Linked DNA regions of Lonchura striata. The protein of the gene in region 1 purifies or fractionates together with the protein of each later gene. This does not show direct contact. Links are inferred from orthologs where the notes say so. Each region holds a gene or a part of one and is shown in the gene's direction. Other genes may lie near its edges. The genes, in order: RACK1, IGF1R, LARP4 and TNRC6C.

Region 1 (7,579 bases):
AAAAGGAGAATTAAAATTAAAATTAAAATTAAAATTAAAATTAAAATTAAAATTAGAATTGAATTGAAAATGGAAATGAAAATTTAAATGAAATTGGTTAATTAAGGATTTTAATTTTAATTAACGCGTTCTGTCCGTACCCAGCAGCGCCGTCAGTCTCCCTGCGAGACGAAAAAAATCCAAATTTATCCCAAAAATCTCCAGAACGGACCCAAAATTCTGGTTTTTTAACCCAAAAATCAGAATTTCTAACCCAAAATTCAGAATTTAAACTCAAAATTACGATTTTTTAACCCAAAATTGAGAAATTTTGACCCAAAAATTCAGATTTTTTTAAACCAAAATTCACACTTTTAACTCAAAATTACCATTTTTTAACCCAAAATTACAAATTTTTTTACACAAAATTCAGATTTTTTAACCCAAAATCATCCAAAAACTCACGGATTTCAGCAGCAAGTTTGGCTGTGGAGAAAAAAAAAAAGAGCATTTTTTACCCCAAAATTTGGATTTTTTAACCCAAAATTTACATTTTTTTTTGAACTGAAAATTTGGATTTTTTAACCCAAAATTTGGAATTTTTTTTAACACAAAAATTTGGATTTTTTAACCCAAAATATTGATTTTTTTAAACCGAAAATTTGGATTTTTTTAACCTCAAAATTTTGAGGTCTTTTTTACCCAAAATTTGGATTTTTTACCCCAAAATTCGGATTTTTTTTTGACCAAAAATTTGGAGTTTTCAACCCAAAATTGGGATTTTTTTTTAAACTGAAAATTTGGATTTTTTAACCCAAAAATTGGAATTTTTTTAACCCAAAAATTTCAAATTTTTTACCCAAAAATTTGGATTTTTTTTACCCCAAAATTTGAATTTTTTACCATAAAACTTGGATTTTTTTTTTACCCAAAATCAGGATTTTTTTACCCCAAAATTTGTAATTTTATTTACCCAAAATTTGCATTTTTTCCCCCAAAAATGGGCACTCACTGATTTTCCGCTCGCGTTCCTCTGGGAAAAAAGGGGAAAAAAAGAAAGAAAATTCAAATTATTTCCAAATTTTTTCCTTTTTTGGGATTTTTTGGGTGGTCTCGGAGCATCCGGGCCCAAAATTGGGATTTTTCCCCCCAAAATCGGCCGCAAAAATGAAGATTTTTGGTTGGACTGACTCAGTTTGGTGCTGGAGTCACCTGAAAAACAGAAAATAAATGAAATTAATTAAATTAAACTAATTAAAATTAAACTTACATTAAATTAAATTAAATTAGAATAAATTAAATTAAATTAAAATTATATTAATTATATTAATTATATTATATTATATTATATTATATTATATTATATTATATTATATTATATTATATTATATTATATTATATTATATTATATTATATTAATAATCTGGGGAAATAAAGAATATTAGAAATAATGAATAAGAAAATTAGTAAATAATAAATGTTCAAATTAATAAATAGCAAAAATATAAAATTATAAATATTAAAAATAGTAAATATAAAAATAAGAAATAATCAATATTAAAAAATAATTAATAGCAAAATAAGTAATAAACATTAAAATTAATAAATAGCAAAATTAATAAATAATAAATACTGAAATTAGTAAATAGCAAAATTAGTAATTAATAAATATTAAAATTAATATTTAAAATGTCAAAGAGTAAGTGGGGAAAAATTTGGGGAAAAATTTGGGGAAAAATGGGGAAAAAATGGGAATAAAATTGGGGAATAAATTTGGGAAAAAATGGGAATAAAATGGGGATAAAGTGGGAAAAATTGGGAATAAATTTGAAATAAAAGAGCAAAAAAAAAAGGGAATAAAACCACAAATTTCACTCACCCAGAGCGGAATTTTCTCCTGGAAAAGAGGAAAAAAAGGGAAAATTTGGGTCAGTTTGGGAAAATTCTGGGAATTGAATCAAATTTTCCTTAAATTTGGATTTTTTGGGTGAAAAATAGGGAAAATTCACCCCAAAATTTGAGGAAAATTTGGGATTTTTTGGGTGAAAAATGTGGGAAAATTCACCCAAAAATTGAGGAAAATTTGGAATTTTTGAGGTGAAAAATTTGGGAAAATTCACCTAAAATTTTAGGAAAATTTGGAATTTTTGAGGTGAAAAATTTGGGAAAATTCACCTAAAATTTTAGGAAAATTTGGAATTTTTGAGGTGAAAAATTTGGGAAAATTCACCTAAAATTATAGGAAAATTTGGAATTTTTGGGGTGAAAAATTTGGGGGAAAATTTGGAATTTTTGGGGTGAAAAATTTGGGAAAAATTTGGGAAAAATTTGGATTTTTTACCCACCCGGTTCCATCTCGTCGCTGCTCCTGGAAAGGAAAAAAATTCGGAATTTTGGGGGGGGTGGAAGAATTTTCCAGGAAAATTTGGGAATTTTGGGTATATTTAAATAAAATAAAATAAAATAAAATAAAATAAAATAAAATAAAATAAAATAAAATAAAATCTTTTCGGGCAGAATTGGGGCAAAATTTTTGGGATTTTTGGGGAGATTTTTGGGGGTTTTTTGGGGGGAATTTTTGGGATTTTGGGGCAAAATTTTGGGGATTTTTGGGGAGATTTTTGGGGCTTTTGGGTATTTTTGGAATTTTGGGGGGATTTTGGGGGGTTTGGGGGATTTTTTGGGATTTCGAGGGGATTTTGGGGGTTTTTTGGGGGGGAATTTTGGGATTTTGGGGGAATTTGGGGGTTTTTGGGGATTTTGGGGTTTTGGGGAGGGTTTTTGACATTTTTGGGGGGATTTTTAGTGGTTTTGGGGAATTTTTGGGTTTTTTGGGGGGAATTTTTTGGATTTTGGGGGATTTGGGGGGGGTTGGGAATATTTTGGGGTTTTGGGGGGATTTTAGGGATTTCGGGGGGGTTTTGGGGGGATTTTTTTGGATTTTGGGTTTTTTGGGGGATTTTGGGGTTCACTCACTGACCGGGACAATTTTGGGGTTCAATTTTGGGGTGCCCGGGGCGAATTTTGGGGTTTTTGGCCGAATTTTGGGATTTTGGGGGATTTTTGGGATTTCGGGGGGGATTTTGGGGGGATTTTTTAGGATTTTGGGATTTTTGGGGGATTTTGGGGGTCACTCACTGACCGGGACAATTTTGGGGTTCAATTTTGGGGTGCCCGGGGCGAATTTTGGGGTTTTTGGCCGAATTTTGGGATTTTGGGGGATTTTTGGGATTTTGGCGGGATTTTGGGGGGATTTTTTTGGATTTTGGGGTTTTTGGGGGATTTTGGGGGTCACTCACTGACCGGGACAATTTTGGGGTTCAATTTTGGGGTGCCCGGGGCAGATTTTGGGATTTTTTGGCCGAATTTTGGGATTTTGGGGGATTTTTGGGATTTCGGGGGGACTTTTGGGGATTTTGGGGCAGATTTTGGGGGAATTTTTTGGGATTTTGGGGTCCCCCGGGGATTTTGGGGGTCACTCACCAGCCGGGACAATTTTGGGGTTCAATTTTGGGGTGCCCGGGGCAGATTTTGGGAATTTTTTGGTGGGAATTTTTGGGGGTTTTGGGGGATTTTTTGGTATTTCGGGGGGGATTTTTGGGGGGTTTTGGGGGGGATTTTTTGGATTTTTGGGGTTTTTGGGGGATTTTGGGGGTCACTCACCGGCCGGGTCAATTTTGGGGTTCGATTTTGGGGCGGATTTTGGGGCCCCGCAGGCCCCGAGGCCGCCGAGCCCGGCTGGAACCGGAGCCGATCCCAAAATTAACCCGGGGGGCGGGGCCCAAAATTTGGGGGGGCGGGGCCCAAAATTTGGGGGGGCGGGACCCAAAATTTGGGGGGAAGGGGCCCAAAATTTGGTGGGGAGGGGCCCAAAATTTGGTGGGGAGGGGCCCAAAATTTGGGGGGGAGGGCCCAAAAATTGGGGGGGTGGGGCTCAAAATTTGGGGGGGTGGGGCCCAAAATTTGGGGAGGGGAGGAGCCCAAAATTTGTGGGTCCCTGTAATTTTTTGGGGGTCCCTGGATTTTTTGGGGCTCCCTGTAATTTTTGGGGGGGTCCCTGGGATTTTTGGGGGTCCCTGAGATTTTTTGGGGGTCCCTGGGATCATTTTTTGGAGCTCCCTGGGATCTTTTGGGGGTCCCTGAGATATTTTGGGGCTCCATGGGATTTTTTGGGGCTCTCTGGATTTTTTGGGGGTCACTTGGATATTTTGGGGCTCCATGAGATATTTTGGGACTCCATGGGATATTTTGGGACTCCCTCTGATTTTTTGGGGGTCCCTGGATTTTTTGGGGCTCCCTGGGATCATTTTTGGGGCTCCCTGTGATTTTTTGGGGGATCCCTGAGATATTTTGGGGCTCCATGGGATTTTTTGGGGCTCCCTGGATTTTTGGGGTCTCTGAGATATTTTGGGGCTCCCTGTGATTTTTTGGGCCTCCTGGAACCTTCCCCGAGACCCCCCCCAAATCCCCGCCTCCATTTTCCGTACACCAAAATGGCGCCGCCTCCTTACTCCCCCCATACCGGCCGCCATCATTCCGTACGGAACTGACGTCACTTCCGCTTCTCCCGGAAGCGGCGCCTCCTCTTTCTCCCCGCCGCCGCCTGAGGGGACGGAGGGCTGCGCGCCGAGGCCGCCGCGAACCCGCCGCGAATCCGCCGCCATCCTCGGCGCCGCCGCCTCCATCGGCGCCGCCATGACGGAGCAGATGACCCTGCGGGGGACCCTGAAGGGCCACAATGGTTGGGTGACGCAGATCGCCACCACGCCGCAGTTCCCGGACATGATCCTGTCGGCGTCGCGCGGTGAGGGCGGCCATGGGGATGGAGGGGGGGGGGGGCACCCACGGGGGAAATGGGGCTGGGGGCACCTACAGGGGAAATGGGGGGGACCCATGGGTGAAATGGGGCTGGGGGCACCCATAGGGGAAATGGGGGGGACCCATGGGTGAAATGGGGCTGGGGGCACCCATAGGGGAAATTGGGGGGTGGGAGATGGGGGGGAAATGGGGCTGGGGGCACCCACGGGGGAAATGGGGCTGGGGGCACCCATAGGGGAATTGGGGCTGGGGGCACCCATAGGGGAAATGGGGCTGGGGGCACCTACAGGGGAAATGGGGCTGGGGGCACCTGCAGGGGAAATGGGGCTGGGGGCACCCATAGGTGAAATGGGGCTGGGGGCACCCATGGGTGAAATGGGTGGGAGATGGGGTGAAATAGGGCTGGGGGCACCCACGGGGGAAATGGGGCTGGGGGCACCCATGGGGGAAATGGGGCTGGGGGCACCCACGGGGGAAATGGGGCTGGGGGCACCCACGGGGGAAATGGGGCTGGGGGCACCTACAGGGGAAATGGGGCTGGGGGCACCCACGGGGGAAATGGGGCTGGGGGCACCCACGGGGGAAATGGGTGGGAGATGGGGGAAATGGGGCTGGGGGCACCTACAGGGGAAATGGGGCTGGGGGCACCCACGGGGGAAATGGGGCTGGGGGCACCCATGGGTGAAATGGGGCTGGGGGCACCCACGGGGGAAATGGGGCTGGGGGCACCCATAGGGGAAATGGGGCTGGGGGCACCCATAGGGGAAATGGGGCTGGGGGCACCCACGGGGGAAATGGGGCTGGGGGCACCCATAGGGGAAATGGGGCTGGGGGCACCCATGGGTGAAATGGGGCTGGGGGCACCTACAGGGGAAATGGGGCTGGGGGCACCCACGGGGGAAATGGGGCTGGGGGCACCCACGGGGGAAATGGGTGGGAGATGGGGGAAATGGGGCTGGGGGCACCTACAGGGGAAATGGGGCTGGGGGCACCCACGGGGGAAATGGGGCTGGGGGCACCCATGGGTGAAATGGGGCTGGGGGCACCCACGGGGGAAATGGGGCTGGGGGCACCCATAGGGGAAATGGGGCTGGGGGCACCCATAGGGGAAATGGGGCTGGGGGCACCCACGGGGGAAATGGGGCTGGGGGCACCCATAGGGGAAATGGGGCTGGGGGCACCCATGGGTGAAATGGGGCTGGGGGCACCTACAGGGGAAATGGGGCTGGGGGCACCTACAGGGGAAATGGGGCTGGGGGCACCCATGGGTGAAATGGGTGGGAGATGGGGTGAAATGGGGCTGGGGGCACCCACGGGGGAAATGGGGCTGGGGGCACCCATGGGTGAAATGGGTGGGAGATGGGGTGAAATGGGGCTGGGGGCACCCATGGGGGAAATGGGGCTGGGGGCACCCATAGGGGAAATGGGGCTGGGGGCACCCACGGGTGGGGGACCCCAAACCCACCAAGAATGGCCCAAACCCACCAAGAATGACCCAAACCCACCAAGAATGATCCAAACCCACCAAGAACCACCTCAAACCTACCAAGGATGACCCAAAACCACCCCAAACCCACCAAAAATGACCCAAACCCACCAAAGATGACCCCAAACCCACCAAGAAGCACCTAAAACCCACCAAGAATGACCCAAACCCACCAAGAATGACCCAAACCCACCAAGAACGACCTCAAACCCACCAAGAATGACCCAAACCCACCAAGAATGACCCAAACCCACCAAGAACCACCTCAAACCCACCAAGAATGACCCAAATCCAACAAGGATGACCCAAAACCACCCCAAACCCACCAAGAGCCACCCCAAACCCACCAAGAATGACCCAAACCCACCAAGAACCACCCCAAACCCACCAAGGATGACCCCAAACCCACCAAGAACCAAGGATATCCATGGAGGTGACACCCCCCGCTTGTCCCCACCCCAGACAAGACCATCATCATGTGGAAGCTGACGCGCGATGAGACCAACTACGGGATCCCGCAGCGGGCGCTGCGCGGCCACTCGCACTTCGTCAGCGACGTGGTCATCTCCTCGGACGGGCAGTTTGCGCTCTCAGGCTCCTGGGACGGGACCCTGCGCCTCTGGGACCTCACCACGTCCGTTTTGGGGTTCCACCTAAAATTTGGGGGTCTTTAGAGAAGGTTTTGGGGTCCCACCAGGGTCAGAATTTGGGTAAATCCCGAATTTTTGGGGTGGGATTGAGAAGGTTTGAGGTGTCCACCATCCTTTCTTCTCTGGGATCTCACTACGTGGGTTTTGGGGTCCCACCAGGGTCAGAATTTGGGTAAATCCTGAATTTTTGGGGTGGGATTGAGAAGGTTTGAGGTGTCCACCATCCTTTCTTCTCTGGGATCTCACCACGTGGGTTTTGGGGTCCCACCAGGGTCAGGTTGTCCCAAAAGTTGGGGAAATTTGGGATTTTTGGGGTGGGATTGAGGTGTCCACCATCCTTTCTCCTCTGGGATCTCACCACGTGGGTTTTGGGGTCCCACCAGGGGTTTTGGGTCTCACCAGCGTCAGATCATCCCAAAATTTGGGTAAATCCCAAATTTTTGGGTCGGAATTTGGGATTTTCGAGCTGCTCGCCCCTCTCCCGATGATTAGACCTGACGTCTCCATCCGATCCCACGGGATCTGACGACACGTCCTGCAATGATGATGGGAGAACATTTCGGGGGAGCAGCCCAATTTTGGGCAAAATTTTGGGGTGTCCCAGACAAGAAGACCATCATTTATGGAACCGAACTCATCCCACCCC
Region 2 (7,992 bases), on another chromosome or scaffold:
TTAATAATTTCAACCTGCCCAGCCAGCATCCATCTGAGGTGTGCTGCGCTCCTGTCCCCTTGCAGGGAGGAGACTGAGCATCCTCCTGCAGTCGGGAGCCTGTGAAGGTCATTGGTACAGGGTGTGACTCAATACAGAGCAAAAACTGGCAAAAAGTGAAAAACGTGGTAGAAAGGGGCAACCCACATTTTGCCTGGCTTGTTATGAGTCCATAAAATGCTTTTTATAAGGGGAGATTTGGAGGGGGGGAAAGAGTGAATTCCAAGGATTTCTGTTTGCCTTTCAGGTGTACAAAACCCACTCCCCAGGCTGTGTAAGAGATGTATCACTCACCCAGGCACAATTCCCACCTGGAACTCTTACCTACCCGCACCTCCCCGCAAGGAGAGCGTTCAGCCTGGAGCAGAGGCTGAACAAGGTGAGCTGGCAGCACCAGCAGCTCCTGGGGCAGGCGAGGTGGCTGCAGTGGGTGCTCTCAGCTGCTGGCCCACGGCAGGGGCCAGGAGCTGCAGAGACATTCCAAAAAGCAGCCCCTGGAGCAGACTCAGGCAGTGCTCTGTGATGGCTGACCTTCATCCCGGGGAGCTGACACGGCTGGAGAAGGCAGGAGAACAAATTTCAGCAGCTCCTTCTGCCGGTAATACAAAATGTTCAGATGCATAAAGGTTATGACAAGCAAGCGTCTGGTAAAGAGGTCAGGCTGCCCTGAATGTGCTGCAGAAGCCAAAATAAAGTCTAGTCAAGCCTATATGGAGTCCGAGCACCGAGGCAGGGGAATGATGAGGCCTCTTCCTCCCCAGTGGTGGCCCCAGAAAGCAGTGGTGAGGCTGCTGTTAAAACAAAAGTATGGCTGAGTGTGAGGATATTTGCCTTGGGCAGATATATGTTTTGAGAGACCGGGGTCAGTGGCTGTTTTAACCACGTTGTTTCATCCCCACTGCCACATTTCCTGAGTTTTCCACTTAAGTGGTATTTTAAACAGGACACAGGTATGCTGGTGGCATTCAGCATCACGCTCTAGAGGGTAAAATGTGTGTGTGTAACCAGGTGTTTCTTTCTGTCCATCTATCTCGGGGACCATAAACCAGCAGTGGACAAAGGGGGAGCAAAAGCCTAGTGCAAACAGAGAGGAGGAATGATTGTAGAACCCATAGGACAGAGAAGAGGAGACACCATTTTATGATTTACTCGTGAAGCACCTTGTTACGAAAATTAACTTTAATTTGTCCAAATTATAACTTTAATTTTACACATGGTACAGGGACAGTGTGCTTGAGGTTTTCATCATCAAGGATATAACCATGGTGTGGTTGTACACACTGAAAAATCCTGATTTAAATATATCCACTGAAAAGAACAGGAGCCTTCCTGGAGAAATATGCCAACATACAAGAGCCAGATCTGATTGAAAGGGTGCTCTAAAGCTGAGCATGTGCAAGTGCCTGGCTGGCACTGGAAGCTGCTCAACACAGAAAAGAATGAGGAAAGCTGAAGATTGTGCACAGTTCTCCTCTTAAGAGGTTAAGAGACCAGAGCTATGGGCACCTGGGCATTCACAGAAAAAGGGATTCCTCCCGCATACTTCCACAGAATAAAATAAAGACATCCTGACAGAATCCAGCCAGATAACTACAAATTATGAATTTCACATCAGGAGCTCAGGAGGATGGAGAGCACTGCAAACACCTCCTGTTCAAAAATGTGCTGTTATTACCATATTTTTTTTAAATTTTTAAAAGAATCCAAAAGATTCCAGAAATAAACTATGTTACAACACCTATAGGGCTGTGTTTATATGAGACTGGAAGCTCTTTTGGGGCACAGCACATCTTTCTGCTCTCTGCCTGTACATCACCCAGTACAATGGGCTTGTCCATGACACCCCATTCACCAAAGTAACGAAAGAAAGGCTATTTGACAAAAATAAAAGTTCTTTATGACAGCAGAATGATGAAGGATAGACACGCAGTTCCCACTTCAGCTCTGTCTTTACACAGCAAGACATTAATTGGCAAATAAGACGTTACAATTTATGCTGCATCAATGCCATGACATGCATAGAAAGGACACTTGTTCTGCTCAGAACCGGCGCCCGTAGCAGCCACAGCTGTACCCAGCAACAGTAAAAATTTATGGCACATGAAGATCTCTCTGGTTCAATTTGAGGACATGAGAGCCTGTGTGTGGTTGATAAAATCAACCAACCACACATGTGGCAGTCCAGGATGGTTTCAGGTGAAAATGTCTGATCTTCCTACAGGGAATCTCGGGAGGGTTATAGTTTTGAGTTATTCTTGAATTATTGACAGAGTCCTGCATAGGTGTGCTCATGTGGCAATCCTAGCCCTGTTGTACTCAGTGAGGATCTTCCCTTCAATTTCTGTGACACAGAATTGAACATTTCCATCTTTCCTAAGGAGTACAAGAGCTAATGAGTAATTCAGACAACAGGACCATTTTCACAAGGCAAACAGTAGAAGAATGGATGGGAAAACTACAAGAAGAAAAACACGTACAGTACAAGGTTGTTGGAAATGATGGGGTAGTGTCAATGAAGGATATTGTAATACAAGATGCTCAAGAATTCAGGTTTAAATGTAAAAACTTAATTTTGACATTTGCATTAATAATGTGACATTTGCGAATTTCTTAATGTACTTTTTTTAAAAAAAAACAACCAACAGCCTAGAATATAGCTAATGCTCACAGATGTCTGCTTTCTTATACTTCAGCATCATTTTGCTATCTCCCCATGCCAAAGTATTGCAACAAATCTGTGATTACTCAGGACACCCATATGCCGTACAGCATGGCTACTACGAGCTCCAGCGAAACAGCGGGAACACGGCCCATGTCTTCCGAGTCTGAAAAGCCCAAACCTTTTCTGCTCCAACTCATCCCATGTCCCCATCATTTGGGGCCTGGGTGCCCAATGTCATCGAGGGGTACGAGTGAGCAGCTGAGAAACGGAGTGACAATGCTGGAGGGCTGGATGGGGATGGTGAGCGTGTGAGGAGAGGATGGCGAGTGTGAATGGGGGCGTGCTCTTGGGGCGTGTTCCACCGTGGTTTGTCGCCTGCACTGGGCCAAGCCTTGGCATCCCTGTCCCTCGCTCCTGACCCGCATCCCTGGGAGCAGCGCTCCGGGCTCAGCCCTTGGCCCTGTCCTCAGTATGAAACTGAGGAGCAGCTTCCATTAAATGCCATAAATAAACAAACACGCCATGCAAAAATCACAGCTATGGATTTCTCCTTCCTCCTAATCCCATCCCTGCCTTTTTTATATGTTTAATTGAATATATTTATTTATTTGTCAGGAACATAGCAGTGTTTCCACTGGCAGGGCTCGCTCGTGGGCTCTCCCGCCGCCCCGCAGGATGCTCGCTGCATATCCCCCAGGTCTCCTGCTGCCGTTTCCCGGTTTGGGAAGGCCGGGGCAGAGGCAGGAGCGGCGGCGGCCCCGCAGCATCCCGAGGTGCAGCATCCTCCCGGTCCGGCTCCGCTCCGCTCCGGGTTTTTCTCGGCGCTCGCTCGCGCCGCCGCCGCCTCCGCGCGCGCCGCCGGCGCCGCCGCCTGGGCGGGGGGAGCCGGGGGGGGGAACGGGAGCGCGCGCGGAAGGGAAGGGAAGGGAAGGGAAGGGAAGGCGGGCGGGCGCAAGCCCCGTCCCCGCGCGGCCGCAGAGCGGAGAAGCGCCGGCGGAGCGACGCCGAGCTCTTGTTTACCAGCGCTCGCTCTCCGTCGTGCACAGGGAGGCAGCGCGGAGGAGAAGGAGGAGGAGGATTGGGGGGGCAGACGCGGCAGCAGAGCGCTGCGAACCCTGCTGCAAGCAAGCGGCGAATTAATCGGGAGGAGCAGCAGAGCAGCAGACCCTTCCCCCCCCCCCCGGTCTCCCTCCCCGCCCCGTTCCCTCCCCGGAGGAATTACAGACCCTTCGCAACAAGCTCCTGGGGTTTGACCTTCAGCAAACCGGATCGCCTTCCTCGCCCCCCGCAGCCCCCCCTGCTCACACTCACACACATACACACACCCACACCCCCACACCTCTCCCGGATCCCCCTCCCCCTGCCTTGGGCTGGGCAGCGCCGGGGGAAGGTTCGCAGCGCGCGCGCACCCAGAGGAGGAGGGAAAAGAGGAGGAAAGGGAGGAAAGGAAAAAAAAAAAAAAAAAAAAAAAAAAAAAAGGAAAAGGATTTACAAATTCGCTGGGTGGTTTTTGTTGTTGTTGTTGTTGTCGTCGTCCTCCTCCCCCCCGCCCCCGCCGCGATGGCAAGGCGGCTCGGAGGGATGCGAAGAGGAGAGCTGCGGGGGGAGGAGGCGGGGTGCTGAGCGCTCCGCTCGCCCCGCTGCTGCTGCCGCTGCTGCTGCTGCTTTGTGTGTGTGTCCTGGATTCGGCTTTTTTTTCTCTTTTTTTTTTCCTTCTTCTTTTTTTTTTTTTTTTTTTTTTTTTTTTGAGAAGGACCTTGTGGCAGCCGCGCCGAGGAGAGGAAGAGGAGGAGTAGGGGGGGAAGCCTTTTTAATTCATTTTCGACCCAAATTCTGCATTTCGAGCCTCTGCAGGCAGCCGGACTCGTGGTGGCGGCGGCGGTGTTGTTGTGGGTGGTGGTTGTGCGTGGGGTGTCCCCCCCACCCTCCCCGGCGGAGCGGGGAGCGGAGCCGCGGGGATCCCGCCGGGGCAGCCCCGTCCCCGCGCGGGGGGACGGCGGAGCTGTTGTTGTTTTGTAATAGGATTGTCTGGGTCGCGCCCCCCCCTTCCCCTCCCTCCGCGGCCCTCCCAGTTTTTGTGTCTCTGTGTGTGTGCGTGTGTGCGGTGTTTGAAAATGGAGGTTGAAGATGCCGACTGCCAGCCCCGATGTGCCTCGTGTTTGCGGCTCCTGTGCACGATGTACCACCGCAGCCAGCGCTGAGGGGAGACGGCGGCGCCCCCCGCCCGCCGCCCCGAGCCCGCCCCGCCGCCCCGGAGACAGCGTCGCCCCGGGGCTTCCATGCCTTGTTGTTGCCGTTAATACATCGTGAATATCTGTGTATTTTTGGTGTGCTTGCTCCGGAAGATCAACACCCAGGGACCTCAACAACCCTCCGGTTTGCCGCTCCGAAGGGTCGTGGTTTTTTTTTTTTTTCCTTTTTTTTTTTTTCCTTCATTTCTTGAGGCAACGTGGATTTATTTACCCTGCCCCGCTGCTCCTCCGCCGCTCGTTATTTTTAGAGGACGGGGAGAGGAAAGAAAGCGAACAATTTTGGACTTCTTTTTGCTTTGTTTTGTTTTCGGAAAGGGGGATTTTGTCCAATTAAAGAAAGAGGAATGAAGTCTGGCGCTGGAGGAGGGTCCCTCGCCGTCGTCTGGGGGTTCCTGCTCGTTTTCGCCGCACTTTGTCTGTGGCCAACAAATGGGGAAAGTGAGTACAGTGCGTGCCCGGGGGTGCTGCGGGGCACCCCGCGGTGAGGGAGCCCCCGAGTCAGGCTGCCGGGGAGGGGGCGAGGGCGGCGGCTGCCTGTGCGTGTTTGGGGGGGCGTGAGGGGTACCGGTGTTTGTGTGTGGGGGGCTCCCTTGTGTGTGTGCGTGTCCCTGTGTGAACGTGTGTGTGTGTATGTGGGTGTTGCGCGTGTATGTGAGGGGGGGTCCCTGTATGAATGTGTGTGAGTGGGCTGGTGATGGGGGGGGCTCCCTGCGTGTGTGGGGATGCGTGAGGGGCTCCCTGTGTTTGGGTGTGTGCGTGAGGGGCTCCCTGGGTGTGTGTGTGTGTGAGAGGGGGCTGCCGAAGGGGTTCCCCGTGTGTGCGAGGGGGTTCCCTGTGCGAGGGGCTCCCTCGCCGTGTGTGTGCGTGAGGGGCTTCCCTGCGTGTCTGGGCTGTGTGCGAGGGGCTCCCTGTCCTTGTGGGGGTCCCTGTTGGCCCCGGGGCCCGTGCGAGGGCTCCCTGCCCGCGGCTGTGAGGGGCGCTCCCGCCGTTTCCCGCCGCGGCGCCGAGCGGGTCTCGCCCCTGCCCGCGGGGCTCTGCGTGTTTTCCTCCTGTTACGCGTCTGCTCCTCCAGCACGTTTAACAACCCGGGGCTGCGCGTCTCCCTCCCTGCCATGCCCGCCTTCCTCCCCGGGAGGCGGCTGCCTGGCTGTACACACGGGTCGGCAGCGCCGCAGCCCCGAGCCCGGCGGAGGGGGCCGTGCCCCTCCTTTGTGTCCCCCCCGAGCGCGGGGCAGCGCTCAGGCGCCGCAGCCAGGGCTGCGAGCTGCGTAGTAAACACTCGCGGGCTGGGGAGGACTCCGCTCGCTTTCCCCCTCATGGAAGGAGCTTGATCTCTGTCAATATTTAGAGGCTGTATGCAGGAACCTGCTGTAGTGAGTGAGGAATTCCTGGAAATGAACGCCTTGCCTTTTACCGCCGAGGAGGGGTTTCACTCGCTGTGTGCGGAATTACGGCGGCATCCCGCAATCTAAAGGTCACGGGCTGCCGTTAATTTTAAAAAGGGAATTAATTCGCACATTGACGTTTGTGCGTAAATAGAAAGGTTTGATGGCGGAACGGGCTGCGATCTGAGGGGGATGCATTTTTCCAAGCGGCCGTGTTGCAGCCAGCGCCGAGGTTGGAGCAGCGTGCGAGCCGCTTCCCCGGGAGCACCGGGAGAACGTGGATCGGCTCCCTCCTGCCGCGGAGCCTCTGCCCATCCCCGCGCCCGCCCGCCTCGCTCGGGAGCTGCCAGAGCCCCGACTTTGTTTTTGTGCGTTCCCAACCTGTGATTGTGTTGCAGTGCCCGCCCCTCTCGGGCGCAGGGGGAATCGAGGGGGCAGGGAGGGCTGCGCTGCCATTGATTACACTGCAATCATCGCCGGATTAATCCCGGGGCTGATCGGTTTTCTCCTGGTATGTCGGGCTCACGCTGGATTGAGGATCTCTTGCATGAAATTAGCCTTCCCTTTTCTTCCTGGAGTATTTCTGTATACGGGGAGATGGTAAATGTGCCTTGGAGCCCAACCATTTTAAACAGTGCTCCCTCTCCTTCAGCGTCTGCAGAAACAGGGATGTTCCTGTACTGCATCCTGATGCTTTAATTTCTTCTGCCGTGTGTTTTTCAATACACTCCTGGAGCTGTTGTGTGCCTCTCCCTTTCAGAAAGATATGCGCTGTTGGAGGGAAGGAACGAGGAGATCAGATTTCTCCATTTTAAATGTAAAGGGAAGGAATTCAGGAGGCAGGAGGGCTTTTCTACAAGTAGTGGTTTCAGATTGAAAAGAAAGGGAAGTTCTTTGGATGCACTGGCAGTGAGGCCAAGTACACAAAAAAAGATAAGTGAGCAAGAAGCACATAGACGGAGCCTGTAATGCATGTTGAGTAATAATTATGTTTCGTTAGGCAGTAAATGCCTGTTAACTCCTTGCAAATTAAGGCCCAGTCTAGGCTTTTGGGCCAGCTACGGCTGGAGAGCTGCAGTCTTACTTCCATGAGTTGAACTTTTTGGCTAGAGCTGTTTTCAAGAAGGGAGATTAATCTTTAAGTTCAAAAACAAAACCCCCGTGCCCTTCTTCAGGGAAGGGCTTACAAAGGATCCAGTAGTGTGGAGAAACAGAACAGGAGGAGGAGGAGATTTGATGCATCCTTAAACTGCTAGGATACACACTTAGAATTGTTTTCCTTGTCTTACCTGGTACAAAGTACCTTGAAATAAAAATGCTCACCCAACAATGAAGTAACGCAGGAAGAGTATGTCAGGATTTTAGGTTCTAGTCCTCTGAAGTGTTTGTGGTTACCACTTACCTAAAATGAACATCCCAAATGAAATATCTTCTGAAGAAGATCCAGGCATTTAAATACGGGAAGATATGCTGAAAAACTTGTCTTAGCTGAATACTGCCTCTAATCGATTGCCTTTGTAGTTTACAGTTTAATAGCCTTTGTTTTCACGAGTTATTGCTGAAAGAATTTTGCTGTTAGGGGGAAAAATGATCTCCAGAGCAGATGTTTTACATCTCTTCATATTCTTCTCTCTCCCCATAATAGTGGAAGGAA
Region 3 (6,944 bases), on another chromosome or scaffold:
TGGTGGCCAAATGAAAGTCGTGGCTTTAAGGAAGAATTAAAGCCAGATGTTTCCAGCAGCTGCTGAGCCCAGCCTTTTGTGTCGGAGCCACCAAGGAGGCCTTGGCAGCATCTGCAGAGCCCCGTGGTGGGAACACCCTGCAATCCTGCAGGCTCTGCCACGGTGCTGGAGCTCCCTGGCTGCCTGGCAGGAGGCAGCAGGAGCTGAGGCAGAGATAGCGAAGCCAGCTCACCATTTATTCTGTGTCTAAAAATATTTATTCCCTGCTGATAGTGGGGGTGGCAGCAGAGGTGTGGGAAGCAAATTTAGCACATCTGGACAAAACACTGGGGCCGAGAGGTGGTTGAGCCATGTTGGCATCAGCTCTGCAGGCACTGGGCAAGATGTGGGGAGCAGGGACAGAACATCACCCCCGAGCCAGGGACTGGCTTGGACCCCTCAGGTAACCAGCAGATAAATCTGCTGTGCAGGGAGCTCATCAGAGTCAGGGGCAATAAACAATCCCTGCCTTGCTTCTGGTTTTTGTACTCAGCTGGGACAGAAGTGAGCACCCATTCCACACAGTGGAACACCAGGAAAAGGGAAGGTGGCTCCTTATTTCAGCACAGTTGTGGAAGGAGCAGCACTTTGCACTGCAAGGGAGAGCCCAGACCTCAGGACTGCCAGTGGGAGGTCCCAGCTCACACCCAGGAGCCATAAATCTCTCCTAGCACTGCTCCTCCTTCTCCTTGTGGTTTTAACATTCACTCCTGGCTTCCTAAGGCCAAATTCCTGGTGCCCTCTGCTCTCCCCTGAGGTGGAGTTTCCTCTTGCAAAAGCAGCGGTGTCCTTGCTGGCTCTGTTGCTGCTCAGGTCTCTGTGTCATGGTCCTCACATTCCTCCTGCCCCATCCTGAGTGCTGGGATGCTCCTGCTCTAGAGGAGCAGGGGAGATGCCCTTGAATCCAGCTGGGGAATGAGGAATAAATCCATGAGGTATGCCTGAAGCAAGGAAAAGTCAATAGAGCAGAGAGAGGTTGGTGACAGGAAATCCCAGTTTTTACTGGCATGGGCTCACATCAGATAATCTGACTATAACAAGAAAGAAATGGCTCCATATTCTGATTTCATGGAGCTGGGTGGGGGCTGCTGCAGGAAAGGAGCTTCTTTCCTTCCCTTTGCTTGTTCTCAGCCTGGGATTTGTCTCATTTGTGTCCACCAGCTCGCTCTGGAACACCCTGGGCAGGAGGAACGATTGTTCCTGCCGTGATTATTCCAAACCCAGCTGCTGGGAGAAGGCTTTGGGAGCTGCTGGGCTGCCCTGGATGGGCTCGGGGGAGCTGCCCGTGCCTCAGTGACAGCTGCTGACTCACAGCAAAGAACCTGCCCGGGTACAAACAGAGAACTGGTTGTTTCACCTCCCAGCAGGTGACAACAGGACCTGGTCGTGTCCTGGCTTGGGTGGTGTCACTCCCATGTTTCTCCCTTGGCTGACACGGAATTGTTGTCACCCTGCAGGAATTCTTCTCTCACTCTATGCACCAGGCCTGGTTTTCCACCCCAGCCAGCGAGGCTGGGAGTGTTCCTGAGCTGGGAGTGTCCTGCTGACTCTGAGCCTTTACCAGCCGGGGGTTTCCATGGAATGGGCAGAAGAACTGCTGGGAAATGCGCCAATCTGAGCATTAGTGGTAATTTACATCCCAGCAAAGCCTGGCTCCAGGAGTCCTCAGCTCCTGTGGATCTCAGGTGCTCAGCAGGTCTGGAAATGGGGCTAAGAAATGTTCCATGCTGCAATCCCTCCGTTGCTTTGGGAAATCCATTTGGGCACACTCAAAATGAAGGAGCAGCTTTGGGGCTCAGGAGGTTTGTGAGCCAAGGGCCATGCTTACCCTTCCCAGGGGTGTGAGGATGAAGGAGTTAATGGTTGCAAAGTGCTTCGGAGAGGACAAGAGCTCAGTCTGATGGCTTCTCACCAGGGAAGGGGATGAAGAAGAAGAAGTTCTCACTCTCAATGGACCTGTGAGGTCTCACTACATCATGGAATTATGGCATATCCCGAACTGGAAGGGACCCACAGGGATCATCAGGCTGGCAGCTGGCCCTGCACAGACACCCCAACAATCCCACCCTGTGCCTGGGAGCGTTGTTGAAACGCTCCTGGAGCTCTGGCAGCCTCGGGGGCCTCTGACCATTCCTGGGGAACCTTTTCAATGCCTGACACCCCTCAGGGGGAAGAACCTCTCCTGATACCCAACCTAACCCCCCCTGACACAGCTCGAGCTGCTCCCTTGGCTCCTGTCCCCGCTCCCAGGAACAGAGACCAGTGTCTGATGTGACAAACACAGATCTGACAGGGGCTGCTCCCGTGCTGTCCCTGGGGACTGAGGTCAGGCACCTCTTGACAGCGAGAGGATTCCAAAATTCTGCAGTGTGCGAGCCGTCCCCTCCCGTTTCTCCTGCTCCAACTTTATTTATTTCACTTCTGTTTCTTTTTCTTTCACTTCTCCACGTCTTGGAGCTGCTCCCCAGGGAACAGCCAAGGGCCTGGCAGCTGGGCTGTGTTTGCAGGGCAGCTTGTGCTCGGTGTTTAATCTCCTCAGTGGACCCTGATTATTCCCTGGCTCCGACTTATCCACGCGGATCTGCCCAGCCCTAATTGCAGGTGATGGCGTTGGTGGGGTCCCTTGTGGCAAGCACGTTTCTCTCCCTCTCAGGATTTTCATAGAGGTGCACAGAGAGAAATGAAAGAGAAAACAATTTCTATTTCTGCTCCTTGTTTTTCCTGTGTGGAATGTGTTTGGAGAATTGTTTACCTGGGGTGATTGCTTGATTGGATTCTGGTGAGGATTGTTTGAGCCTGGTGGCCAATCCAACCCACCTGGGGCTGGACTCGAGAGAGGGTCACCAGTTGTGTTAGAGAAAGTAGTTTGTAGTTTTAGTATCTTCCTTTTATATAGTATATTGATGTATTTTAGCATAGTTATAATAAAGAAATAATTCAGCCTTCTGAATTGAGCCCGACATCATCATTTCCTCCCATTGGGTTCACCTGCATTTACAATTGTCCCTCCCAGGGCACTGATTCATGGCAACCTGAGGGCTGGAATCTCCATCCTCCACTCACACCAGAGTGTTTTAATTCTCTTACCAAAACCAGCAAATTACACCTCAATGCTCTGTAACACATTTTGTGGGTTTTTCACTAAAGCAAAGCGGTTTCAAGGCGTGTTTTCCCCTCAGAGCATCATTCCTGCTGCTACCATGGGTCTGGGTGGGGAGGGGGGGTTGAAATGCACCAAGTCGTGTATCTTGTGAAGAGTTCTTAATTTGCAAGGAATTTGTACATCATGTATGAGATATATGAATATGCAACAGGCTGTTGCTTTTAAGGTTATTCCTTTGTTCACAAGGTATGTTTTTTCATGACTTAGTGTCTGAGAGCATCTGGACGTCCGTAATTCTTTGCTTTTTATTGTCGTGTAATTGTCCTAACTCTAAATTTTATTACTCTCATTGTAATACCATTTTTATAACCATTATATTATTATTAAATTTTGAAAAATTTTAAAAACCAAGCGATTAGCGTTTTTCACAGGAAGCATAAAGCATTATGAGCTCTTTAATTAGGAAAAAAAAAAAACAACCAACCAACCAAAACCCAAAAAAGAAAAAACAAAAAACAAAACAAAACAAACAAACAAACAAACAAAAAAACAAAACAAAACAAAAAAACACCCAAAAAACCCAAATTCGTGAATTCTCCACAAGGCGGCTCACGGCCCCTTCCACTCCGTCCGCGGGGGACGCCGCTTCCCGCGCGCCGCTGCAGCCACCGCGCCCTCTGGCGGAGCCGCGCGGCGCGGCGGCCGCACCCCCCTCCGCGCTGGAATGGTGCGTGCCGGCCGTGCCCCGGACGCGCTCGGGGCGCCCGGAAGAGGCGGCGGCGGCGGCGGCGGCGGCGGGCGGGACGGGCCGGAGGCGGAGCCCGCGTGTCCCGATCGCCGCTCCGGGCAGCAGCGGGGAGCGCGGGCCCGCCGGCCGCGGCGGCACGATGCTGCTGTTCGTGGAGGTGAGGTGGCGGCGCCGCGCCATGTGGCGGGAGGAGGAGGAGGAGGAGGCGGCGGGAGGCCGCGCACGCCGCGCCGGGGGAGGGGACGGGGCTGACACAGCAGATCCGGCGGTGGCGGCCGCGGGCGGGCGGGTGGGTTTCGGGGAGGCTCGGGGGGCGCTCTGGGAGGTTCGGCCGGGGCGGGGGGCGGCGGAGGCGCCGCCGTGACCTTCGGGGGCGGCCGCGGCCCGGCCGTGAAGGTGACGCGGGACACGCGGGGCCTCCCCGAGGCCTCGCAGCAGCGGGCCCGGCCCGGCCTCTGCACACGCGGGGCGGCCCCGCGAGGCCGGCCGCGAGCGCGGCGCCTCGTTAATTGCGTTAATTAAACGCTGGCGGTGGTTTGCGGCGCGGGAAGCGGCGCGGGTTCTGCCGTTCTCCGGCGCGCCGGGTCCGGGCGGGACGAGGAGCGCGGCCCGGCCCGGCCCTGGAGGTCACCGGGGAGGGCGGGCGCCGCGTCCGCTGTGGCCCGGGATGGGCTTTCAGCTGCTCGCGGCGTTTCACGGGCTCGGTGAAGCGGTTTTAACCTTCGCTGAGCGAACCCGGGTGGCCGCTGTAAACTTTGCACCGAGTTTTGTCCCAAAACGTGCGCGGAGCAAGGAGCTGCCGGGGCCGGGGGAGTCACGGAGGGAACCGGGCGGGCGCTGGGCTGTGTCTGCACGGGAGGGCTCGGCTCGGGGGGTTCGGCTCGGGGGTTTTGTTCAGGGGGGATTCTGCTCTGGGGTTTTGTCCAGGGGGTTCTGCTCTGGGTTCAGTTCGGGGGGATTCTGCTGTGGGTTCGGCTCGGGGGGATTCTGCTCTGGGTTCTGCTCTGGGCTCAGCTCGGGAGGTTCTTCTCTGGGGTTTTGTTCGGAGGGTTCTGCTCTAGGTTCAGCTCTGGGGGTTCTGCTCTGGGTTTTGTTCGGGTGACGGTGAGATAGTGCTGGTGGGCTCGCACACAAACACCAACATGTGCTCCGTGGTTAGGAGCCCCTAAATAAAGCAGTTTGGGAGACACGATCTCTTTCTTAAGTGAATCACCTCAGTTCTGAGCTGGATGTTCCTCGGCTTCGCGGGGAGGATTAAAAGTTGTTCCGAGCACCGTGACAGGCCTGGAGAATTGGGGGTTGCAGGTTCTGCTGGAAGAGGAACTGCTGAGGCTGCTGGGAGGCACGAGCAGCTGCCTCATCCCAGAGAGGCCCCGCACACGAGGCGGCTTCTGGAATGCAGGGATGGAGATGGGGACGGGAGCTGGAGCATATCAGGGAGCACATGGCTGCTGCTGGTGTGGATGGGAGCTGGAGCTCATCAGCATTTGGGAAGTTTAGGGTGGCCTAAAGCACAAACTCAACTCTGGTCTTTCTCTGATAGCGTTGGGAGTTTCTGTGATCTTCATTCTGGAAGCCTCAGTAATATTTAATTATGAGTTCCTGACGATCATATGGATTTTCTGAAGGTTTCTTTTCACTGCCAGGACAGAGAACTGGAGCTCTGAGCTAGCTATCCTGGAGTGCTGCAGTTGGATGCTTGGGAGCAGATAGCAGCTTTATCTGGGGATCTTTGGGGATGCCTGGAAAATAAAGCACAGGACAGGTGGAAGTCCCGAGGTTTTCAGGGGGATTGCTTCAGTTGCTGTAGCTGTCAGTGTTTTAAACTTGGTGATTGTGCCAAGTCCTTCACAGTGCATGAGGGGGAGTTGGGTTTCTTTCAACATCCTTTAGCTCCAAATCTCTGCAGTGATGGCTGTATAAGGCTTGTGCTATTTCGTACATTTATGTTTGGGGCAGGGCTTTTTTCCTCCTCTAAGCCAGGACCTGTGTGCTGTTAACAATTAATAATTAGGTGCATTTGGAATATTAATAAATACATTGAGAGAAATGGAATTGATAATGGGCTGCACTCAGATGGCTATGTGCTCCTAATTCCATATATTTGTAATTTATTGAGGAAATGGGAATCTGTGCGTTTCAGGTGGGTGAAATGCTGCCCATGATGTTTCCTGGTTAGAAATCCAGGACTGTGAGCGTTGTTGGCCCTCTCGAGCAGGTGAGGCTCCCTGTGACCCCACATTCCCCTGTTCACACTCCTCTGACCCAGGTACCACCTGCAGACAGCACAGCTGTGTCTTGGCTTTTCCAAGGGGTGGCTCCTCAGTGGAAAACCCTGCAGCTCCTGCTGGGAGGGATGTTCCTGTGACCACTGCAGTTACGGTGAGGTTGGGAGTTAGCAGAGCACTGAGCTGTTACCTGAAACCTGCCAGCAGCTCTGGAGGAGTTCTTTGTGCTGCTTTGACACCAACTTCTCCTCATCCAGCCTCTGAGTCTGATTCAGCCCCAGGAGGTGATGGTGACTGCCCTCAGAAAAGGTGCTCGGAGCCCCTCAGGCTCCCTACCTGCCTGTCCCCCAGCCAGCACAAGGCTTCTCTCAGCTGCCTCCCGTGGCTTTGCTGACCTTGGGGTTTTTCCATCTGCTTACGTTTCCATTTCTGGAAAAGGGTTCGTTTCTCCCCTCACAAGTTTGGTTAAATTCTCTTCTGGATTTTTTGCTTTGTTTTCTGTTTAAGAGAGTTTGTCTACTCTAGGAAATCTGTCACAAGCTCTGGGTTAGGATTTTGGTTGCAGAACAGTTAGAGTTAATATTAAAATTGAATGCTTTAAAACTCTTTGAGTGCCTGCATTTTTGTTAGCTTCATTTAATCTGGTTAAGTGTAATTTAGATGTAATTACAATAAGAAAAATACCCTTTGCCATGTTTCAGAATGAGAATTTTCTTCAATAACCCATTTTTAGGAGTTGCTGGAGGAGAATCTTGGATCCACATTTGCTGGAAGCAGTGTGAGCGAGCGGGGAAGCTGTGCTGAGGAGAGCTTTGTCAGCTCGTGG
Region 4 (7,555 bases), on another chromosome or scaffold:
AGCTCATCCAGTGCAGGGTAAAAGGTGAACTGCCAGACTCCTGTGATGATGATCACCACAGTGGGTTTGCTGATGTGAAATGTTTTTGCAAGGCATCAGGAGGAACATGGGGTATCAGGTTTTTTTTTCAGGAGCCCTTTCTGCTTTGGGCCAGTGCCATGGAGAGGACATTTCATAGCTGGGCACAACCACTCCGATGTGGAGGTGTCACAGCAGGGCATGGTCCAAGCAAGTGGGAAGAAAATGTGGGGAAAGAGATGTAAGTTGTGAAAGTGAGTTTTTCCAATAAAAAGTTATGTACAAGTTCAGTACAGTTCATGAATGGTTGAATCAAAGACCTTTGAGGTCTTTTCCAATTTAGCAATTCTATGATTCTATTTAAGTGCTCACCCTAAAGACACCATTTGTGGTTGGGTGGCCAGGAGGGATGTGGATGCACCCTTCAGAGGGACTTTGTACAAATGGCTTGCACATTCATATTTTCCTTGGAAAACTTGAGAAGAGCCTGTGGTGTCCTGGATCCTGAGTGATCCTGCCCATCCAACCTCTGAGCATCACCTCAGGAAAGGGAGAGCCTTGGAGCTGTAGCTTCACTTTGTGTGGGCTCTGGGAAATCCTGTTCAGCATCAGAGACTGGATTCTCCTTAAGGAATGGGGTTGTTGTTTTTGTCACTGGAGCAGGGCTTTGACTTTAATTTTTTGTGTGCTTGTTATTGCTGGGTAAGAAGTGCAAGGAGTGCTTGGTGACAATTCTGTGCTTGGTTGGATGATACAAAACCAAGCAAGAGACATCTCTAAAATCTACGCTGGAGGAATATTTTGCCTGGGTGTGGTTGAGCCACCCAACACAGCCCTAAACGTGGGAAGACCTTTGCTTAGCTGGGCTTTGTCACTCTCAGCAGAGCAAACGCTGCATCTGTGTGAGTGCCTGGCTCTTTGTGCTCAAAGCCACCCACCTAACACACCCTGGGGACACTTTGGTCACAGCTTTTCCCTGACAGACTGGGTTAGTGGAGGTTTACGAGGCAGCACTGGAATTCCTCCTGCTCTGGGAGCACTCATGCGCTGGCATCATCTGTCCCTCTGCCTCCCCTTCACACCAGCTCACATCTGCTCTTACTCACATGTGACAAAAGCCACTACCTGAGCACTGGGGGCAGGAGAGCCTTCCAAGGCAGCAGCAGCTGCCTGGAGCCCTGGTTCTGTGCTGGAGCAGCTCTGGAAGAACACAGCTCAAGGAGAAGCCCGTGCCCTGCCAGGGTGCTGTCAGCTCAGGGCAATGAGGGGACAGATGCACCATGCGTGGTGACAGCAGCCACCAGCTGCTGACACCAGGTGACAGAGCCTCAGATGATGCTGAGGATCTGTGCGAGCCCCCAAGGAGAACAACCAGGGGAGTGGGAGGGCAAAACCCCAGTGGGAGACCAAAGCAGGGGGAAAAATAAAAATTACATTGGATAAAGCCCTGTGTTCAATGGTAAAAAAGCTCAGGTAAGACAGGAAAAGTTTAGTAGAATGTGTTTTTATCTGTTAAAGACAGTATTTTGGGACAGGGGTGACAAACACAACAGGCTTTCTGTGTCTGTGGGGCTGTGGTTATAGCATGCTTTTGATAGTAATTTCTCCAGGGCCAAGAAAAGAGATTAGTACACAAATCACTTTCAGTTTTATTCCATTTTGACATTTCAGGGTCTCCAGCAACTTGGCACCACTCTGCAAAGCCAGAAATATTTGTGTGGCAAAAATGTGTTTTGAATTACAAATATTTCAACGTTCACAACATGTAACATAGGAGACCAGGAACATTCCTTGGCACAATTGCCAAGCAGAGGTTTTGGTGCAGGGCAGCCTCCTGTAGGTGCTTGTAGTGCCATAAGCATGGCATGTGGCTTCTTCTGTTCTGCTTCTTGGAGTGGCTGGCTGATCAGGAGAGCAAAAAATCTCCTTGGAAAGCAGCAGTGGAAAATCCCCTTGGAAAGCTGCTGCAGCTCCGGGGTGGGTTTGGAAGGAGTCTATAGGTGCTGACCTACATTTAAGTAAGGAGAGTGAGGGGAAGCTCAGCTGGCCCTTGGGATGACACAAGGGCATTTTCCCTCCAAGCCAGGTCTGTCACCATCCTGGCGTATGAATTCATTCCCGGTGAAAGGTGCCAGACTGACATTCAAAATATGGGGAAAAAAAAAAAAAAAAAAAAAAAGAGCCTTCTTCTTAATAATTCTTTCTCTTCTTTGTGCTGATGAAATACAATGGGACATTTAAATCTGATTTTTATAACATTTTGCATTGCTATAGATCATGGTCTGACCTGGAGAAGACACTTTGTTCTGACTACAATGATCTGATATTTCATATTTTAGTGGCTTTTTTTTTCTTTTTTTTTTTTGTCTTCCCCACAGTATTTCTGTTGCATTCTGGCACAATATGGGCTCCCTCCAGTGGTCAAGGGGCTCCGGGCTCCTGGTGTCGTTTGCCCAGAGGCTGGCACAGGGTGGCTTTGGGGCTGGCATCACAAATTCCAGCGGGAATCGTACCGGGACCGTGCTTCTGTCCCCTCGAATGCCCCGCTGCGGGTGCCAGTCCCCGGCAGCATCACCAGCCCTGCCCGGTGAGCCCTGCTCCGCTCAGATTTCAGCGGAACAGCCCCAGCGGATAAAAATCCACGCTCTGGATTTCCTTGCACTTCCCAAAACGTTCGCTGCAGAAGTGGGGAGAGGAAACAGGAGAGGAGAGAAAACCGGAGATCTGCTGGAAAGACCCAGACACAACAATTTTTAGCAAAGAAAAAAAAAAAGACTAATTTTTTGCATTCCGCTCTTCCCGCGGTATTTTGAGACCAGCTCCTGACTTTCTCCTGACAGAAGCAGCTAATGTGGTTGTTGTGGGGGACAAGCCAGCCGCTGCCACTCTGAAATGTGACATTTCCATCTCCCCTCCCCGACCTGCGCAGCTCCCCGGGCTTGCTCAGCCACGGGCGCGTTTCAAACACCGGGATTGTTTTTGGAGGCGCCTGGGTAGAACGGGGATCCCCTCCGAGGGCCGAGAGCCCTGCATGGGTACCCCGGGAGTGTCACCCAGGGGTGTCCCTGCAGGTGTGCGCTCACAGCTGGCACAAAGAGGGGGGCTCCCGGCAGCTCGGGGTGCAGCAGGAATGTGTTTAACCCCCTTTTCCACCGCTGTGTGTGTGAGAAAGCACTGATGCCGTTTCCCGGGTGGGGATGACATCCCTGTACCCCTTTGATTTGACACCCACGGGTGGGGGTGACCTCCCTGTACCCCTTTGATTTGACACCCACTTTCCTGTATGGGGGGTGTCCCCCCCGTACCCCTTTGATTTGACATCCACTTTCCTGTATGGGGGGTGTCCCCCCCGTACCCCTTTGATTTGACATCCACTTTCCTGTATGGGGGGTGTCCCCCCCGTACCCCTTTGATTTGACACCCACTTTCCCGGGTGTGGGTGACCCCCGCTGTACCCCTTTGATTTGACACCCACGGGTGGTGGTGACATCACTGTACCCCTTTGACCCCCACTTTCCCGGGTGTGGGTCCCCCCGTACCCCTTTGATTTGACACCCACTTTCCCGGGTGTGGGTGACCCCCGCTGTACCCCTTTGATTTGACACCCACGGGTGAGGGTGACATCCCTGTACCCCATTGATTTGATCTCCCCGTACCCCTTTGATTTGACACCCACGGGTGGGGGTGACATCTCTGTACCCCTTTGACCCCCACTTTCCCGGGTGAGAGTGACCCTCCCTGCACCCCTTTGATTTGACACCCCCTGTACCCCTGTTATTTGACCCCCACTTTCCCGTGTGGGGGTCCCCCCGTACCCCTTTGATTTGACACCCACGGGTGGGGGTGACCCCCGTGTACCCCTTTGATTTTCCCCCCCGTACCCTTTGATTTGACCCCCATTTTCCCGTGTGGGGGTCCCCCTTTGATTTTTTTTTGGGGGGGAGGACCGAGCTCTCCGCCCCCTCCCCCCGCGGGGCGCGGGCTGGGCGCGCGGCGGTGGCGGGAGGGCGCGCGCCTCGGCGCGGAGGGAGGCGGTGGGGGGCGTGGCCCGCGGCGCGCGCGCGCGCTCATTTGCATAGGCGTCGGCCTCGCCGCCCGTTTGGCCGCGGCCGGCGCGCTCATTTGCATCCGCGTCACGTGGGGCGGAGGGCCGGGCCGGGGGCGGGGCCGGGGGCGGGGCGGGGGGGGCAGCGCGCGCCAGCTGCCGTTGGCGGCCGGCGCGGGAAGGGGGCGCGCGCGCGCGGAGCCGCCCCGCGGTCTCGCGCTGCCTGGCGGGGCTCTGTCAGTCAGCGACAAAATGGCCGCGGCGGCGGCAGCAGCAGCGGCGGCGGCAGCGGCGGCTCCTCGCCTCCCCAGGGCGGCACCGGCGGCGCGGAGGAGCGGGGGATCGTCCCGGCAGCACTGAGCCCGGCACCCGCCTGCCCTTTGCGAGGCGAGAGCGAGCGGGAGAGAGAGAGAGAGAGACGGCGAGCGGCGCTGCGTTCCCCCCCCACCACCCCCTCCCCCTTCTGCATCCCGGCGGACCGACCGAGCCTGCCCGAGGCGCTGCTGCGGCTCCCCGGGGACACGCCGCCCCGCTGCCCAGCCGGATCCCTGCGGAGGACACGGAGAGAGCCGCGGCATCGCCCCCCTCCCGCCTGCCCGCGGAGCCCGCTGCGAGTCCCCGCTCCCTCCTCCCTCCGTGAAAAGACTTTGCTGGATCCTCCTCCCCGGGTCCCCCCTCCCCGCGCTCGCCGCTTCCTGCGGGAGCGGCTGCTGGATCCTCCTCCCGGCCCGGATCGCCCGCGGGGTCCCTGCGGAGCCGCGGACCCTCCTCCCCCGGCGGGGACAGCGCTGGATCCTCCTCCTGCCCGCAGCCCCATGCCAGGCTCCGCATCCCCCCGTGCCTCCCGCCCTGCTCTTTGAGGCTTTTTGCTTTTTTTTTTTTTCCACCACCACCACCCTCCTCCTTTTATTTTGAAGGGGGGATCCATCTTAAAACTCTTTTTCTGGATCCCGGTTTCTCTTTTTTTGATTTGCACTTTTTGAAAAACCCTCAGATGCTCCTCCATGTGGACTGAGAACCCATCAAGACACACACACCAGAACTCATCCCGATCAACTCCAAATCCTGGCTTTCCGTGGGTTTTGCTGCAACACATGAAAGCAAACTTGTATTTAAGACACACTCGTGCAGAAATTTAGCTGGGGACTTGAACGTGTATTTTGTCTTGGTTTCTTGGTCTTGGTTATTTTTTGTTGTTTTTTCTTATTTTTTTATTTTGCTTCACTGGAAATCAAAAGCTTGTTTTGGAATTGGACCTGCTTTTGCTGCACTTCTCCTCTGGGCTGGATAACACTGAAGCTCCTTGCTTTTCTACTTGGATAGTGTTTTCCTGTTGATCTGCTGGGGTTTTTTTTTCATCTCCTGTGTGGCAGACTTTTTTTTTTTCCCTGAGGGGGGTAAACAAACGACGACAACAACAAAAAACTTATTTTTTTTGGCCGTGTGAGATTTTTTTCGTATTCATATTCGTGAAATTACGGGTACATTTACAAAAAATTAAAAAAAAAAAGAGAAGCATTAAAGATAAGAAAGGAACACGTCAGAAAGACCCCTACACGGTAGACAAAATACTCACTTGTTTCCTTACAGCAAGACTGAATCGAAAGCTGCCAAAGAGCCCCATAAAGAAAAGACTAAAAGGTAAGAACGGGTAAGAGCCTTTCTTAATCTGGGCACGATAGAAGTTAGCAGGGGAAGAGACCTGCAAAACCTGTGCATTCCTCCTTTTTCACAAATCTAAACTAGATTATTATTATTATTTTTAAATTGTTTATTAGTCAGCGAAGCAAGGAACACCCCCAAACATTTCAAAATCCCTTTTATTTTTATACGATTTTTAAAAAAACGCGAACAACCTCCGGATTTTTTTTTAATGGTAGAATTAATTCGGTATTTTTCCTCTGTCCGGAATCGCTGTTTGGCCACGAAGAGCGAGCAGAAAGTGCCATTTGTGAGCATGTTGTGCCATTCAGACATGACACGAAGGCAGCTTCTGCTGCAAGGCACGACCGTGTGCTCTTGCTTTTTAGAACTTACACGTGTGAAAATTATCGCAGAGCGGCTTGGAAATGATCCCAGGGCTGGGAAATTGTGGGCATGGCCAGCAGTGCTGCCCTGTGGGCGAGCACATGAGCTCCAGCTTTGTCCTTCATGGCTGCTTTCTCTTAAAAAGTTAAAATGTTCAGCTTTGGTTTATTTTTCCTCTTTTCCCCCTCCGCCTAATGAGATTGTGAGGATCCGCAGTCATTTTCTCCTGAGTATCCACAGAGAGATCTTCGTCTAAACCTGGAATGTCCAGGGGGAGAGAGAATATTAAACTGAGTTTATTCCTTTAACTGCGACGCAGGAGGGGAGGAAAATGGGAAGGGCTCAGTTGTTAACCTGAGAAATCTTGAAACGCTGGAAGTTTATTAATTGTTCGAGGCTTCTTTGTTTGTATCACAAGTTTGTGTCAAAGGTTAATCTTCTTAATATGTAATTAGTTGAAGGTTCAATTATGGGATTTATTGAACTCAATTGGGTTTCCCCCCTCTTTTCCCATTAAAAATAATACTGCAGGTCTTTGTGACTAGTTTATTTTCTGCTACAACTCGAGTGTATCTGCGAGAAGAGATTTATTCAATTATTCTAACAGCCAGTTTAAATTTAGAAATAATCTTTGGGACGTCATACCCGTGTCTGTTGCATATTTTCCCTTCTCGTTTGCATATGTATGTATCTGGCGAATTATGCTAATTTATGTACAGAAATTTGCTGTGGACATTAGGCCGGTTAAGGTAATTAAAATTCCAATAAATCCCGCTGTTAGTGGTGCAGAGCTTTAAATCAGGTGGGTGTCGGTGGTGCTGTGGACCTGAGGACAATGCCAGAGCGGAGGACCAGGAGAACATCTGCACTGCTGCTGGATGCGCTGGGAGAGCCAGGCATGGCTTCCAAATCCTGCCCTCCTTCCCGGCGGTGGGTGGGGTTTTTTGGGCTTTTTTTTGGGTTTTTTTTTTTCCTTTGGATTCCCCGACGACTGAGCATTTAAAAGGAGTTTCCTCTCGGATATTACATTTTTTAAAAATAATAATTTCGAGAAGGCAGTGGGAAGGTACACACGGGTTCTCACTGCTTCCCCTGGTGTTTTCCAAGGAAATAGGAGGTGACTTGCAGTGGGTGCAACCTGTGCTTAGCATATCACGGAATTTCCTTGCTGCAGCCCTGTTCCTGGGGTTCAGGAATCCCTGGGATGTCTGCCTGCCTGCTCCTGTGTGTTATTTGTGAGCTCAAAATGGTGTGCTGAGCAACAGCCCCCGGATGCTGTGGCTTCTGGAATTCTTTCCAGACGTGAAAACATCAGTGTCAGCCCTGGATACCCCAGTGAGGAAGCTGCTCTGGGGAGCACTGTGGTGCTTTTTGGCTGGGATTGCAGAAGCCTTGCTGGTGGATAACCTAACCTGGCTGCTTCCGAGCCCGAGACTCGCAGTCTGTGGGAAAAAAAAAAAAAGC

The links.
Region 2: the proteins of RACK1 (region 1) and IGF1R purify together in Homo sapiens (affinity purification with western blotting; 4 studies listed by BioGRID, with this or other methods). This does not show direct contact. The link is inferred for Lonchura striata from reciprocal best matches to the Homo sapiens genes RACK1 and IGF1R.
Region 3: the proteins of RACK1 (region 1) and LARP4 purify together in Homo sapiens (affinity purification with mass spectrometry; 3 studies listed by BioGRID and IntAct, counting the BioPlex papers as one, with this or other methods). This does not show direct contact. The link is inferred for Lonchura striata from reciprocal best matches to the Homo sapiens genes RACK1 and LARP4.
Region 4: the proteins of RACK1 (region 1) and TNRC6C purify together in Homo sapiens (affinity purification with mass spectrometry; 3 studies listed by BioGRID and IntAct, counting the BioPlex papers as one, with this or other methods). This does not show direct contact. The link is inferred for Lonchura striata from reciprocal best matches to the Homo sapiens genes RACK1 and TNRC6C.

Annotation. Positions count from the first base shown.
Region 1 is NC_134631.1:304,626-312,204, forward strand, and holds the start of RACK1 (small ribosomal subunit protein RACK1), read left to right. Parts: upstream 1-4,562; 5' UTR 4,563-4,674; coding exon 4,675-4,783; intron 4,784-6,745; coding exon 6,746-6,917; intron 6,918-7,579. Other genes in the region: uncharacterized protein LOC144247616, read right to left, coding at 141-161, 445-465, 992-1,012, 2,325-2,334. UniProt on the Homo sapiens protein: Scaffolding protein involved in the recruitment, assembly and/or regulation of a variety of signaling molecules. Interacts with a wide variety of proteins and plays a role in many cellular processes.
Region 2 is NC_134613.1:20,974,191-20,982,182, reverse strand, and holds the start of IGF1R (insulin-like growth factor 1 receptor), read left to right. Parts: upstream 1-4,985; 5' UTR 4,986-5,297; coding exon 5,298-5,391; intron 5,392-7,992. UniProt on the Homo sapiens protein: Receptor tyrosine kinase which mediates actions of insulin-like growth factor 1 (IGF1). Binds IGF1 with high affinity and IGF2 and insulin (INS) with a lower affinity. The activated IGF1R is involved in cell growth and survival control.
Region 3 is NC_134629.1:8,867,756-8,874,699, forward strand, and holds the start of LARP4 (la-related protein 4), read left to right. Parts: upstream 1-3,934; 5' UTR 3,935-4,029; coding exon of another isoform or gene 4,030-4,047; intron 4,048-6,944. UniProt on the Homo sapiens protein: RNA binding protein that binds to the poly-A tract of mRNA molecules. Associates with the 40S ribosomal subunit and with polysomes. Plays a role in the regulation of mRNA translation.
Region 4 is NC_134621.1:3,508,440-3,515,994, forward strand, and holds the start of TNRC6C (trinucleotide repeat-containing gene 6C protein), read left to right. Parts: upstream 1-4,551; 5' UTR 4,552-5,704; intron 5,705-7,555. UniProt on the Homo sapiens protein: Plays a role in RNA-mediated gene silencing by micro-RNAs (miRNAs). Required for miRNA-dependent translational repression of complementary mRNAs by argonaute family proteins.